2 linked regions of the Arabidopsis thaliana genome follow. The protein of the gene in region 1 interacts with the protein of each later gene in a pairwise test. Each region holds a gene or a part of one and is shown on either strand. Other genes may lie near its edges.

What was found.
Region 2: the proteins of AtVEX1 (region 1) and AT4G34220 interact in a protein complementation assay, tested with the Arabidopsis thaliana proteins (one large-scale study listed by BioGRID).

What each region holds. Positions count from the first base shown.
Region 1 is NC_003076.8:25,228,398-25,235,163, reverse strand, and holds AtVEX1 (Nodulin MtN3 family protein), read left to right. Parts: upstream 1-3,319; 5' UTR 3,320-3,636; coding exon 3,637-3,679; intron 3,680-3,772; coding exon 3,773-3,809; intron 3,810-3,879; coding exon 3,880-4,096; intron 4,097-4,318; coding exon 4,319-4,480; intron 4,481-4,496; exon of another isoform or gene 4,497-4,596; intron 4,597-4,610; coding exon 4,611-4,730; coding exon of another isoform or gene 4,731-4,793; exon of another isoform or gene 4,794-4,816; coding exon 4,817-4,960; 3' UTR 4,961-5,226; downstream 5,227-6,766. Other genes in the region: AT5G62865 (uncharacterized protein), read right to left, coding at 597-1,100; AT5G62860 (F-box associated ubiquitination effector family protein), read right to left, coding at 1,623-2,123, 2,377-2,532; AT5G62840 (Phosphoglycerate mutase family protein), read left to right, coding at 5,492-5,721, 6,020-6,265, 6,371-6,452, 6,533-6,766. UniProt on the Arabidopsis thaliana protein: Mediates both low-affinity uptake and efflux of sugar across the plasma membrane. May play roles in nurturing the male gametophyte.
Region 2 is NC_003075.7:16,378,451-16,386,410, reverse strand, and holds AT4G34220 (Leucine-rich repeat protein kinase family protein), read left to right. Parts: upstream 1-1,942; 5' UTR 1,943-2,356; coding exon 2,357-4,037; intron 4,038-4,165; coding exon 4,166-4,758; 3' UTR 4,759-4,938; downstream 4,939-7,960. Other genes in the region: AT4G34215 (carbohydrate esterase, putative (DUF303)), read left to right, coding at 5,219-5,809, 6,017-6,208; SK11 (SKP1-like 11), read right to left, coding at 6,950-7,408.

The sequences.
Region 1 (6,766 bases):
TGTAGTTCCTTAATAAATTGAGAGAAACGAAAAAATGTATTTGAATGTTTTGATCAATGATCGTCATTCGTTTATGGCTTCCAATAGAAAGGTTTGAAGTTTGAATTGGGAAAAGTGTTGTTGGTTCATTACATACTACCCCAAACGATTGATAGTTTCTTCTCTTTACTCGGCTTTAACGGTAACTATATCTTTGGAAAACAGAAAAGTTTTTGAGTGGAATTTTAAAAATGAGTATAGATTATAAAAATAAAGAAATCATGTCAAGCAACCATGATTAACTAAATCATTACTTCCACATATGCTAAACAGCTAATTTACATAAAATTATATTATATTAGCCACAACAAGTTCAATATCCCCTCAAAAAAGAAACAAAATATTGCTTCTCTTTCAAGAAACATAAAATTTGGTTGATAAATAAATTAATTAAACTGGGAAAATAATAAAATTAATTCAAAGTTGATTATATAAACAGAATGATTAAATAAGAAAACGCGACAGACTCCAAAAACGATGTAAACCAAACCAGTCAACCATTTTGACAGCCTTTTCCCCGCCGCCAGAAACGCAAACGCGTTTCTCACACGCGCCCACTAACTTTCAATGATCTCATTACGCGGCGTCAACGCAGACAACGACGTCGGCGAAATCGCCGGAGCTTTACCTGAGTAAACCGGGACAGAAGCGAATCGGGTCGAGAAGCTTCGTAATCCACCTAGTCCGACGTATTCATCCTCCTCGTCGTCGTCATCGAAGTTCAAAGAGTAACTCAAAGGATCGTATTGAAACTTCTCGCTTGCGTCCCAATCGCGGCCGCGTCGTGGATCGCGATTGAATCGACGAATGAAAGTCTTCCACCGTGGACCAGCAACGATTTCTGACCACTCTCGGATCTTCAAGGATGCTCGGATCCACCAACGTGGCTCGTCGCCGTGGTCGCCGCTGTGATTACTGTCATCGACGGTTCGAATTCGTCCCCAGGAGGAGTAACCAACGGCGGTGGAGCTTCTTGATCGGCGGAAGCTGGGGAAACAACAGCAACGTTGATCGTACCGGGTATCAGGATCTCGGGTTGGGTCCGACTGCGAAAGTTCCATGGGCCGAAACTCAGAGAAGTTTTTTCTTGGGTCAAAAGACTCGTGATGATAATATAACTTGATTCAAGTTTTAGCTGTAAAGGATTATGATTGGTCCTATTTATTATATGCACACTTGACACTTGTAATATAAATTAAGAAATTGTTATTTTTTCTATGTTATTATATGCACACTTGACACTTTTACGAATCATGGCTGTAAATATTAAAACCTTAGAAACTCAATTATCGATCAACACGATTGAGAATCATAAAAAGTGTTAAACAATTTCTTAGGCTGGTGAAAACGAGTCTTAGAAAAAATAAATATCTTGAGCTAGAATCCGTTATAAGATAGTTACTTTCCTAACAATGTTTTTAGGAATACACTTGATAAAACAAAATTGATATTTATTATAAAAACTACTATTCACTAAGGGAACGAGTTGAACAAATGTGATCCGGCGGGTACAACAAACTAACATTTCGGATCATAGTACGAGGGGTACAAAGATTGAGCAGATGTCACTGTCTTTGGCATTATCACAATCTCACCATTAGGACTGACACCAGCGATGCAATACCTAATTTCTCAAATATCATCATCTTAGACCATTCTTGTTGCTCAATATGATCTTCCATAATCCACATCTCTGCACTAGCTTTGGTGTAACGTATGCATCCTAATTTTCCTTGGTAGTTTACCAAAGTCAATTCATCGAAACTCACTTCACTGAGCTGCTGATTCATCTGCAGAGTTATGGGCATCTGAATACGATCAAAGCTTTCGTGTCTAACGTCGAACCTCACTAGCTCATAGAATTCGGGATCATCCCAGCTTTCTACATGTGCTATGTAATAGATAAACTCTTTGATACATAAACCACTACTCCTAGCTTCTGGAGAGTGATTCCAAATGCCTTGGATGTCAAGGCTCCTCCATTGCTGCTTCATTGGACCTCCCACTAATGTGAAAACTTGTTTCTCAACTGGATCATATCCGAACAATCCATCACACGAGTTGCTCCATCTATCGTGTTTTACCTCCGGTAATAAAATCGTTTTCCTATTGGTATGTTTATAGATCGAGCTTGACCAACAACAGAAGAGTCCTCGAAAATTATTGATACTTAAAATCCCAACTTCGCCCATGGTTTAATGTATAATTACTGTCTTTGTCTGGGTATATGAATGATATATCATTAGTAGGATAAGTAGAGGGCGAGAATAATGACCGAGTCATGATCAAGAGGGTGATACGAGATGACCACAGCTTCGATACACATTGGAACCTCACAAGTGACTTAACAGGGAGTCTCGAGAGTATATCGGTTATTACATCGAAAGGGATATGTATACCGTTTGAATTTTCTCTCTCGGAGATTTCGTTCTGACGTTGTTGTCGTCGTTTTGGAGATCGTGAGGTCTTCTTCTCTTGGCGTCCTCTCTTCATGGTGTCAGTTTTCTATTTCATTAAACTTGAACGAAGAAAAACACATATATATTTTTGGTTTTTGACATTTTTTGGGGGTTTATGACATTTGTTTTTTTGGATATTTTCTATATATTGGCAATACAAAAGAGTTTATAAGCTAAGCAGCCCAGTTTCATGTCCCATTAGGTTTTAGATCTCAAGTCTTAACCGACCTACATTTAAAGGGAAAACATTAAGAAACAATGAGAGATTAATTTAGTATTTTCGATTGATGCGCCTCACACTGAAACCTGAGGCTTGTGTGTTCTGTTTCTCTTCATCTTGATTCAATTCGTTTGCAGTTTCGTAGCTTGATGAGAAAGGAATATTAAGTGATTCATATATAGCAAAGTGTTTACATAGTAAACCTAAAAAGAGAGTAAAACTAAAATCTCTTCTCTTTATTCATCAATACAAGTTGCTATTAACAAAGTTTTTGGTTACAGCACATATTCACTTGCTTTGTATTATTGTATATACTATACAAGATGCTCTACACAACATTTACTATGACATGAATATGAGACAACAAACTCTTTATACATAATGAAGATGTAGTAATAGTAAATGTAATTATGTTTGAGAAAGAGAAAGAGAGAGAGAGAGAGAGACAGAGGTATTAATGTGAGTGAAGAGCCGGGTGTTTCTCATGCATGGGGTACGAGCGGAGTCAACGGCTTCATGGCTCAAATTTGAAACCACGTGTCATGCGTTTGTTACTCTACCCAGATTCTGCTGATTCACAGACTCACTATTAAAATCCACTTTTTCTTTTTTCTCTGTTCATAAAGCAGAAACCAAAAATAATCCAAATATCAAAAAACCAAAAACAGAACCTAGAAACCACACCAAAAAAAAAAAAGCTATTTCATCAAACAAACAAAACTCACATCACAAATCAGAAACAAACAAAAAAGAAACGCAGTACTAAAGAAAAAAATTATAAACAAGAATCATCGAAAAGAAGAATCGAAATCATCAACATATTTTGTTTCTCTTCTTCTTTTATTTTTATAAAATATAAATTAGTTCTTTGATAAAATCTGTAGAAGATAAAGAATTCTTCTTTAGAAACAAAGAAAAATGACGGACCCCCACACCGCCCGGACGATCGTCGGAATCGTTGGTAAGTCCTCCACAATTTACTCAAACATAAAGTTTAATTCAATCAACAACAAAAACATTTGCTCATGTCTTTGTTTGTCTGTTATATGTTTAGGAAACGTGATTTCTTTCGGCTTGTTCTGCGCTCCAATGTAAGCACACATGATGATTAAATCTTTTTTTGTTTTGTTGCATGCAATGACATATGTGAAAATTGTGCAGACCAACGATGGTGAAGATATGGAAGATGAAATCGGTCTCCGAGTTTAAGCCAGATCCATACGTAGCTACGGTTTTAAACTGCATGATGTGGACATTTTACGGACTTCCTTTCGTCCAGCCCGACAGTCTCCTCGTCATCACCATTAATGGAACTGGTCTTTTCATGGAACTCGTTTACGTCACCATCTTCTTTGTCTTCGCTACCTCCCCTGTCCGCGTAAGCCTTTAAAACCTCTAATTTCAACACGAATGATAAAAATATGTATATGCATTCTAAATTATTCAATTTATATAAACTTTTCAGACATAGGTTTGATAGCCTTTAAACCAATTGAAAATTAGTGAATTAGTGGTTGATGTTTGTTTTAGTTTGTTACTTCAAATGTAGATCGATATAGATTTTGATATGTGAAGTTATGATATATATATATGTGTACAGAGAAAGATCACAATAGCTATGGTTATCGAGGTAATATTCATGGCGGTGGTGATCTTCTGCACAATGTATTTTTTGCATACAACAAAGCAGAGATCAATGCTTATTGGGATCTTGTGCATTGTTTTCAACGTCATCATGTATGCTGCTCCTCTCACCGTCATGGTATGATGCCTCTTCTTTCTAAACTAATCACGGAAATGCAAAAATTGGATACTACACTATCAACTTTTTTCTTTTGTTCTCTTTATCTCGTGAATTTCCATTTAATGAGTTTAGTTATAATGTGGAACAGAAACTTGTGATAAAGACAAAGAGCGTGAAATACATGCCGTTCTTCCTATCATTAGCCAACTTCATGAACGGTGTCGTTTGGGTCATTTATGCATGTCTTAAATTTGACCCTTATATTTTGGTAAACCCTCATATATATCTTTATTGTTTGGAACTCAAATCCCTACATCTCAAAAAGGACTAATTATCTTCCATGCATGAAAACAGATTCCAAATGGTCTTGGATCGCTATCAGGAATAATCCAGCTTATAATATACATAACTTACTATAAAACAACTAACTGGAACGATGACGATGAAGATAAAGAAAAGCGCTATTCGAATGCTGGAATCGAACTTGGCCAGGCTTGATAGTTTCAGCTATTTCATCGTCTACGGTGCTTCATCGATAGGTTAAGATAGAATCAGAAGTGAGGTGAAGTTCTTATTACTATTATTTTGTGTAAGCCTATGTAGAAAAAAAATGAACAAGTGGAACCCTTAAGTTATGAAGTTTCTTGTGTATGAAGAAATGGGTTTTCAGTTTTTTTTTTTGGAAATGATTGTAACTTTCGCAAGTTGAATCTATGTACGTTGTTACAATTTTAGTTTTAATCGAAGTTTATTAGATTACTTTTATAACATTTTCTTTTTTGGAAACTGTAAGGAAAGAAACAAATTTGTCCTCTTAAGAGCAGAGTAATAAACAGAGTTTCTCTCTTGTTTTAGGTTTTTTTTTTGGTCCTGACCGGTTAAGAATATTTCCGAGAAAGTTACCGGTTTAGCTGATTCGATTTTAAAAACGAACCCATAATCTAAACCGGAATGTGCGATTCACAATTGTGGTTTTGTAACCTTAAAACACGGAGGACCAGAGATACCGTTTGAGATGACGATTGAATTATGTTATCATCATCACCGGCGGTCACCACCGCCTCACACTTACATCCTCCTCCGTCGCCGGAAACCTACCAAATTCCTCTGAATTTACTTTCCTCGCCGCATATTACCCGCCGAGACCTTTTCAAAACTCTCTCCGTATGTATTGCCACACCATCACTCTCCGTCTCCATCGCCGCACCAGCTAACGCACGCGGTCTCTTTCAAATGCCGCCTCTCCGGCTCTCTAATCGGTAATTTACTTTTTCAAAACCCTAGTTTTGAGTTTCTGTGCATACAACCAGATGTGCATCAATGTATACGTATCTTCGTCCTTTTGATTGGAACTAAGTTTAAAGGATCTTGTAAAGCTTTAGTAGATTAGTGAGATTCCAAATTCTTCACATTGAACTGTTAAGAGTGAATCTCTGACTTTTAACATTTTGATTCTTGTTCTTGATTCGTTTCCGGAGTTATTTAGCCTGGTTATCTTAGAAAATGGAGCTAATAATACACAATGTGTTTTTGGTTGTTGTTTTTTCTTGGATCAAGTTATTACCTTGTGAGAGCTGGGGAATCAGATTACGAAAGCTTAGGGATAATCAACACAAACCCGGTTGCCAAAACATCGGTAGATAGCGGATTATCAGAGAAAGGTAAGAAGCAGACTCTGAGAGCTGCGTTACAGTTAAAAGCAATGGGAGCTTGTGACCGAAACTGTTGGCTCTGGCCTTCCATAACACAGAGAGCTTATCAGGCTGCTGAAATCATCGCCGCCATCAATGGAATTAGTCGCAGGTAAAATCGTCCATTAGTCTTCTTACTCTTTAGTGAGGTTTTAGCTGTGGAATCTAATCTTTGTGATGGTACGCTGAATGTTTTATGTTCACTTGGTTTTCGCAGCTATATAGTTCCGGAGTATAGCTTCCTTGATGCTCGTGGTTTAGGAGCTTACGAAGGCAAGAAGCTTGAATCTATATCAGAAGTAAGATTTTAGCATTTTTCACATTAAAACATACAAACAAAAACTCGGGTTGAAGTATGAAAGTTTCAACTTCTGTGCAGGTGTATGCATTAGACTCAATATCGATGAAGACAAAACCTCCTCCTATAAGCGACGGTACCCCCAACGAGAGTGTATCAGATGTATTTGTGCGTGTGACGCAACTCATGTCTATTCTCGAGACTCAATACTCAGAAGACACAATCGTGATTGTTTCGCCTGATTCAGACAACTTATCGGTGTTACAAGCTGGTATCCAAGGACTCGACCTTCGAAGGCACTCGGAGTTGTATTTT
Region 2 (7,960 bases), on another chromosome or scaffold:
ATTACAAATGTGTGCAACTTAGTCAAATGCTTAGTTGGTAGATAAAGAGATGTCTCTTGGTGCTATGTCAGAACCTCTATTGGACCAGACAAGAGAGCATGGCGTGGATATTTATATTTGAAGTCGATAATTCGTTACCCTTTTGGGCTTTATATACGATTCCCTCTTCTTTACAATAAGTGGTTGGATGATTGTTTAATATTTCTAAAATTTCAGATTAGAAAAAAAAAAAAAAAAGAGAATTCAAAAACAATTTAAAGAATAAAACACTATACATCTACCAGCTATGAGGAGTCCATAACTAAGATATAGAGTAATATGTTGGATCTGTGTCAAAACAAATATTTTTTCTCAGATCATTCTTTAAGTACAATCTGACCATCATTCTTGACGTATATAATATGTGCAGAGTTCTTGGGATTCACTAACGTTGTCATCATGGCATATTCATGAAATATGTCGACAGATTAAATCCGCTTAAGATCATATTTTATAGCTATAGTCAAATATTTAAGATCCATTGTCTACAATAAAAGATGACATTATCTTTTATGGGGTATCAGATCGGCCATAGGCACATTATTAGCTATCAGCCTCCGACCAAAAAAACCAAGGCATTGAATGGATGTATATAACTATATAACTTTACAGCTTTTGGTTTATAGATGAGACGTTTACACTGGGGTAAGGATGAAGTGAAAACGAAAAAAAAAAACATTAGACCTAAAAAAAAACAAGAAAGAGAATGAATATACTTTATAGATTGTATAAACGACATCAACCCGTGATCGTTACGTCTAGGACCAGCCAGATGAATATACTTTATAGATTGTATTTTTTACTTACGTCCAAAAAATCTTATCTTATGTGTTTTAGAAATTGACTAGGTTTAATCCCCATCATATCCATAGGCCCCTTTTATAATGCACATGTGAGATTCTTAATGATCACCATTTAAACTTTCTCCGCGTTTACACAAATTACGTATCTTAAATAACTAACACTCAACTAAAGCCTTTGATGAATATTATTATTATGCTACTTATACACGACAAGAAATTGTCCTAACTACCTACTTGTTGCGAATGAAGCAAGCAAATATGTATTAAGATAATTTATGTTTATGCCTAATTATTATCTTAATCAACAAACTATAATTTACAAAATTGTTTTGTGTGACTGTTGCTCTCTCGGACAACACTCGTTTATTTCGCATCAATTATTCTCATTCTTATGTGACTCACTCAAAACCAAATAAGATGGACCACTTCGAGCCTTGTTTCTGTTATATATTCGTCCACAGGCTACACTGAAAGCGATGCGGTCATAGCCCATTCTCTCGTCGCTTTCATGTTTGTTCTCCAAACCTTTTTTTTTCTCCTTGATTGTGCTACTGCTTTGGCTTCTTTCAATTCTTAGATATTTTTAATTTTATTTTCAGCTATAACTTCATTTAATATGGCTAAATAGTTTTCTTGGTTTAGAGTCTTTAGACTAAGGAATAATTTCATGACCATATTTTTAACTTTTCGATTTTCGAAAGATTCAGTTTAGGCCTAACTCAGTTTGCCAACTTGTGTAGTGTGTGAACAATTTACACAAAAATCAAACTCTGCAAGGTCATTTTTCCAAAATTTTGATTATTAAAAAAATAAAAAAAAAGATGAGGATAACTGACATGTCAGTTTTGTGGTGTCCCTTGTTTTGTCTTTGATTAATGTATGGTTCATTTCATACGAGACCCTCTGTTTTGGCAAACCTATAACGGGTTTTCTCTTATAAGTTCTAAGATGAGAAAGTACTACATTGAGATATAATTACTCAATTACATACTGTACTTAGTCGTAATAATAGTCGGTGATTATCCTTTTAAACTTTCTATGGACCGAAATGTTCCAGAAAAAAAATGCAATAGTTTAGACTTTTAACTTTATTTTATTAGCTTTTCTTCATGTAAACCAAAAATAACCCAAAAGCAAGCGGTAATAATTATTCTGTCCCCCATGAATTGCTTTTACTTTAGTGAATGAAGTAGATTTTAAATGCGAAAATATGGCTGCTGCTGCTCATTTACAGTTTTACACTAATGAATAAATATGATCAAGAATCATTGATTCTACACCTTGTCCCATGTCAAGTCTAGTCAAAAGCTTATTTTATCAACTCCGGCTCTTTAAGATTCTCTCTCTCTCTCTCTCCTTCACCATCTCAGAGATTGCTCCACTATCTCATAGATTTGGTGACCAGAACAACTTATCTCTTGAGTGGTTCAACCTCTATCTCTCTCTCTTTCTGCCATGAAAATGCAAAGCCAAATGTAATAGTTAGAGAGGGAGAAACCAAGAACTGAAAGACCATGACTTCCAACAGAAGCAACCTCCTGTTCTCATTAGTCCTCTTCCACTTTCTTTTTGTCCCCACACAACTCCAAGCTCTTAACACTGATGGTGTTCTTCTGCTTACTTTCAAATACTCCATCCTCACTGACCCTCTCTCTGTTCTACGCAATTGGAACTATGATGATGCAACACCATGCTTGTGGACAGGTGTCACATGTACAGAGCTTGGGAAGCCTAACACACCAGACATGTTCAGAGTCACAAGCTTGGTACTTCCCAACAAACACCTTTTGGGTTCCATCACTCCGGACTTGTTCTCGATTCCATATCTAAGGATCTTGGATCTGTCTAGCAATTTCTTCAACGGGTCACTCCCGGACTCGGTGTTCAACGCCACTGAGCTTCAGAGTATCTCCCTTGGAAGCAACAATCTCTCTGGTGATTTGCCCAAGAGTGTCAACAGTGTGACTAATCTCCAGCTCTTGAATCTCTCAGCTAACGCATTTACTGGCGAAATTCCGCTCAACATCTCACTTCTGAAGAATCTAACGGTCGTTTCCTTGTCAAAAAACACCTTTTCAGGTGATATTCCAAGTGGTTTCGAAGCAGCACAGATTCTTGATCTTTCTTCAAATCTTCTCAACGGCTCTCTTCCCAAGGATTTGGGAGGAAAAAGCCTGCATTACTTGAACTTATCACACAACAAAGTCCTCGGCGAGATTTCTCCAAATTTTGCAGAGAAGTTTCCAGCAAATGCCACAGTCGATCTCTCCTTTAACAACCTCACAGGCCCAATCCCAAGTTCCCTTTCTTTACTTAACCAAAAGGCTGAGTCTTTTTCCGGTAACCAAGAGCTTTGTGGGAAGCCATTGAAGATCCTTTGTTCAATTCCTTCCACTCTTTCAAACCCTCCAAATATCTCTGAAACTACTTCACCAGCAATAGCAGTTAAACCAAGAAGTACAGCTCCAATAAACCCTTTGACAGAAAAACCAAATCAGACAGGAAAAAGCAAGCTAAAGCCAAGCACCATTGCCGCAATCACAGTTGCAGATATAGTTGGTCTAGCTTTCATTGGTCTACTCGTGCTCTACGTATACCAAGTCAGGAAACGCAGAAGGTACCCAGAATCTAGCAAATTTAGCTTCTTCAAGTTCTGTCTGGAGAAAAACGAAGCCAAGAAATCGAAACCAAGCACCACTGAGGTCACAGTCCCAGAATCACCAGAGGCCAAAACGACATGCGGTTCATGCATTATCTTGACCGGAGGAAGGTACGACGAGACATCGACATCAGAGAGCGACGTAGAGAATCAACAAACCGTTCAGGCATTCACTCGAACAGATGGTGGGCAACTGAAGCAGAGCTCCCAAACTCAATTGGTTACAGTCGACGGCGAGACTCGGCTAGATCTAGACACTCTGCTAAAGGCATCTGCTTACATATTGGGAACCACCGGAACCGGGATCGTGTATAAGGCGGTGCTGGAGAACGGCACGGCATTCGCGGTGAGGCGGATCGAGACGGAGAGCTGTGCGGCTGCGAAACCCAAGGAATTCGAGAGGGAGGTTCGTGCCATCGCTAAGCTTCGTCACCCAAATCTCGTCAGAATTCGTGGGTTCTGCTGGGGAGACGACGAGAAACTTCTCATTTCCGATTATGTTCCCAATGGCAGCCTCCTCTGTTTCTTCACCGCCAGTAAGTTCCTCTGTTTCTGTAAGCGCACGAAAAAAAAAACACAGTATCATATCTAAAATACGCAAGTCATTTGGTACACATTAGCACTCTAAAATACGCATCACTGTTTTTTTGTCCTTCACAAACAGCTAAGGCAAGCTCAAGCTCATCTTCTTCGTCGTCATTACAAAACCCTCTTACTTTTGAAGCACGGCTCAAGATAGCAAGAGGAATGGCTAGAGGACTATCTTACATCAATGAGAAGAAACAAGTGCACGGTAACATCAAGCCCAATAACATTCTCTTGAACGCTGAGAATGAGCCCATCATCACCGATTTAGGGCTAGACCGCCTCATGACACCAGCGCGTGAATCTCACACCACTGGACCAACTTCGAGCTCACCGTACCAGCCACCGGAATGGTCCACAAGCCTGAAACCAAACCCTAAATGGGACGTTTACTCCTTTGGCGTCATACTTTTAGAACTTCTCACAAGCAAAGTGTTCTCGGTAGATCATGATATAGATCAGTTCTCAAACTTATCCGACTCTGCAGCGGAAGAGAATGGCCGGTTCTTGAGGTTAATCGACGGTGCAATTAGGAGTGATGTCGCTCGCCATGAGGATGCTGCAATGGCGTGCTTTAGGTTAGGGATTGAATGTGTCTCTTCCTTGCCTCAGAAGCGACCATCCATGAAAGAATTGGTGCAAGTGTTGGAGAAAATTTGTGTTTTAGTTTGATTTCTTAATTCGTATAGCCTAAGTCGTTTTGGCAATATAGAAAGTTATGTGTTATGTATGTTTTAGATGTGTTGCTTAATGCTTACTTTACCCTCGCATAATACTAACTCTTACTTTAGAGTTTAGAATGTGTTTCACTGTTTTGTTATGTTATATCACAACCAAAAAGCTATATAAAAATTAGAATCTTAACCGATGAAGCCAATTAAACCAACACAACGGGAATCACTTAAAATTAACTCGGTCTAACTTCCTAACCAAACTTTTAAACAGACCGACCCAAACCGGACCAAGATTCTAGTGTCCACGCCTCAACATCATCTTCTCCGATCAACTCTGATGCTCACCCCACCAAACTTTACTTTCTATTCAGACAAGACATCTCGATAGCTTATTTCTATGGTCTGATCACACGATAGTGTATTCTGATATCATCACTCTACCAAAGAGATACCAAATTATGGAAGGAGGATCTATCACTCCCGGTGAAGATAAACCGGAGATCCAATCTCCAATTCCACCAAATCAGATCTTCATACTCTCTGGACAAAGCAATATGGCAGGACGCGGCGGCGTCTTCAAAGACCACCACAACAATCGCTGGGTGTGGGATAAAATCCTTCCACCGGAATGCGCACCAAACTCATCGATCCTCCGCCTGTCCGCAGATCTCCGGTGGGAAGAAGCACACGAGCCACTACACGTTGACATTGACACAGGTAAAGTGTGTGGAGTAGGTCCAGGAATGGCGTTCGCTAACGCGGTGAAGAATCGCCTGGAAACAGATTCGGCTGTGATCGGGTTGGTGCCGTGCGCTTCCGGTGGAACGGCGATAAAAGAGTGGGAGCGTGGAAGCCACTTGTACGAGAGGATGGTCAAGAGAACGGAGGAGAGTAGGAAATGCGGCGGAGAGATCAAGGCGGTGTTGTGGTATCAAGGAGAGAGTGACGTGTTGGACATCCATGACGCCGAGAGCTACGGGAACAATATGGATCGTTTGATTAAGAACCTCCGTCATGATCTCAACCTTCCTTCTCTTCCCATTATTCAGGTCTCTCTATCCTTTGTGCGATTTTAGCTTCCAATGTCACATCTACATAGGTTGTGACGTTGTGTTATTGGTGAAAGAGTTAAGTTGCAGATTATGTAATTTTAGGCTTTTACAATGTACATATCAGTTGTTGCAAGTGATTTTGTCTTTTAGAAATCGGTAGGTCAGATTTCCATTGGTTAATCTTGATGGTTTTGATTGAAGCAGGTGGCAATAGCATCGGGAGGAGGATACATAGATAAGGTGAGAGAAGCACAGTTGGGACTGAAACTGTCGAATGTGGTCTGTGTAGATGCTAAGGGATTGCCGCTAAAGTCCGACAATCTTCACTTAACCACCGAGGCTCAAGTCCAGCTTGGTCTCTCCTTAGCTCAAGCTTACCTTTCCAACTTCTGCTAGACAATCAAGTAAGTTCGTGATAAGGTTCATGAATCTTTCTGAATGTGTGTGGTGGACTAGTTATATGGATATCACAAAACTTTGTAATAATGGATTGGTAAAACATTGATGTTCATAGTGAAGAACAATTAGTTTGCTCTAGATACTGGTGGATTCTGAAATCGATCTAAAATATTATTAGCAGCTCTGTTTTAGTCCTTCGTTCATTATAACTCTAGGATCAATTGAAGTTACGAATAATGATATCGTTGCACTCCACTATACATAAGTATATTTCATAGACTAGAAAGTCAAATAAAACCATAGAGAAGTTTAATGTTGTATTGGTGATGGATAATTGTTTTTGTCAGGTTGACGATCGGGTATTGGTGAGAAATTGTGGTATTTTCAGTGTGTTCTAGCAGTTTAATGTTTGTTTGTCTACATCTCCCAAGAGGTGATATGCAGTCTAAGTGATGGACGATGGTACTGATTATATGTAAATTTGTTATCCATGTAGAGCACACATAATATTCTTTCCGTTTGTCACATTATTATCTACATTGCAACTACTAATAGACATGGCCGATAACTTTCCTACGGATTAGTCATTCATGGTTCAAGTTTTTTTCTCATAAAAAGAAACACAAATCATAATAAAGATGTAGACAAAGTTATCATAATCGATCAAGACGTTAAAAAGAAAACACTAAAAAACGAAAAAAAGAAAAAGAAAGCTAGTTAGGGTTTTGATTCATGGGCTCATTCAAAAGCCCATTGATTCTCCTTACGAACAGCTTCTTCTTCCTCAGGTGTAAAATCATTCTCAATGTTGAAAGTTGAACGAATCTCCTCTGGAGTCTTGCCTTTGATCATGTCCGCAACAGTTTGGCATGTGAGATCAAGCAAGCTTTTTATGTTGAGGTAATTCGCAGCAAGGATGAGTTCAAAGATGGTGGATTGTTCGAGATCCATGAACTTCTCGTCCCAGTTGTTGAGATCCTCTTCAGAGATAGGATTAGCCTCGTCGACGTGGTGTTTCTTGCAGTACTCGATCACTTTCACAAGAATCTTGCTTTCCACGTTTGCAAGAGGGATTCCATCAGCAACGCAATCGTCTTCAACCATATGCGCTATGGTCTGCGATTGGATTGCTACCGCTTCTTCCACCTCAAACGACTGACCATCGGAGCTCATCAACACGATCATCTTCGAAGACATTGTGTGTTCCTTGTGGAGGAGGTTTTTCACTGTGAAGCAAATTTGATGAAAGATTTAAGAATTTAGAGAGCGAACAAATTGTGTTAAGGTGATGAAGTTGTGAAACCCTATGCGTCTTTGTATTTATAAGCCCTAGCTAGAGTCGGTGACAACAACATATTATAATTCAACGCGTGGTACACTACGGACAAATATTTTATTTATATATATAATAATTTTAAATTTTATAATTTTATATTTAGTAATAAAGTTATATAATTTTATATTAATCTTGTAATTAAAAAAATTAGTGATGATAAAATAATAAAATAAATATTTTACCTGTGTTATATCAATCCAAACCCGTCTCGATGTATTTCCTATCAATCCAAACCCGTTCTGCTATACTTCCCGTCTCATGATATTTTAATTTTTTATGTTTAAATATTAATAATGTTTCATAAAGGTAAAATATATCACTAATATTCTTTAAAAATAATAATTGTTTTTGACTTTAATGTGATGACATTCTTTGTAAATTCTTACTTTACTAACACAAAAGTACTTTAAAAA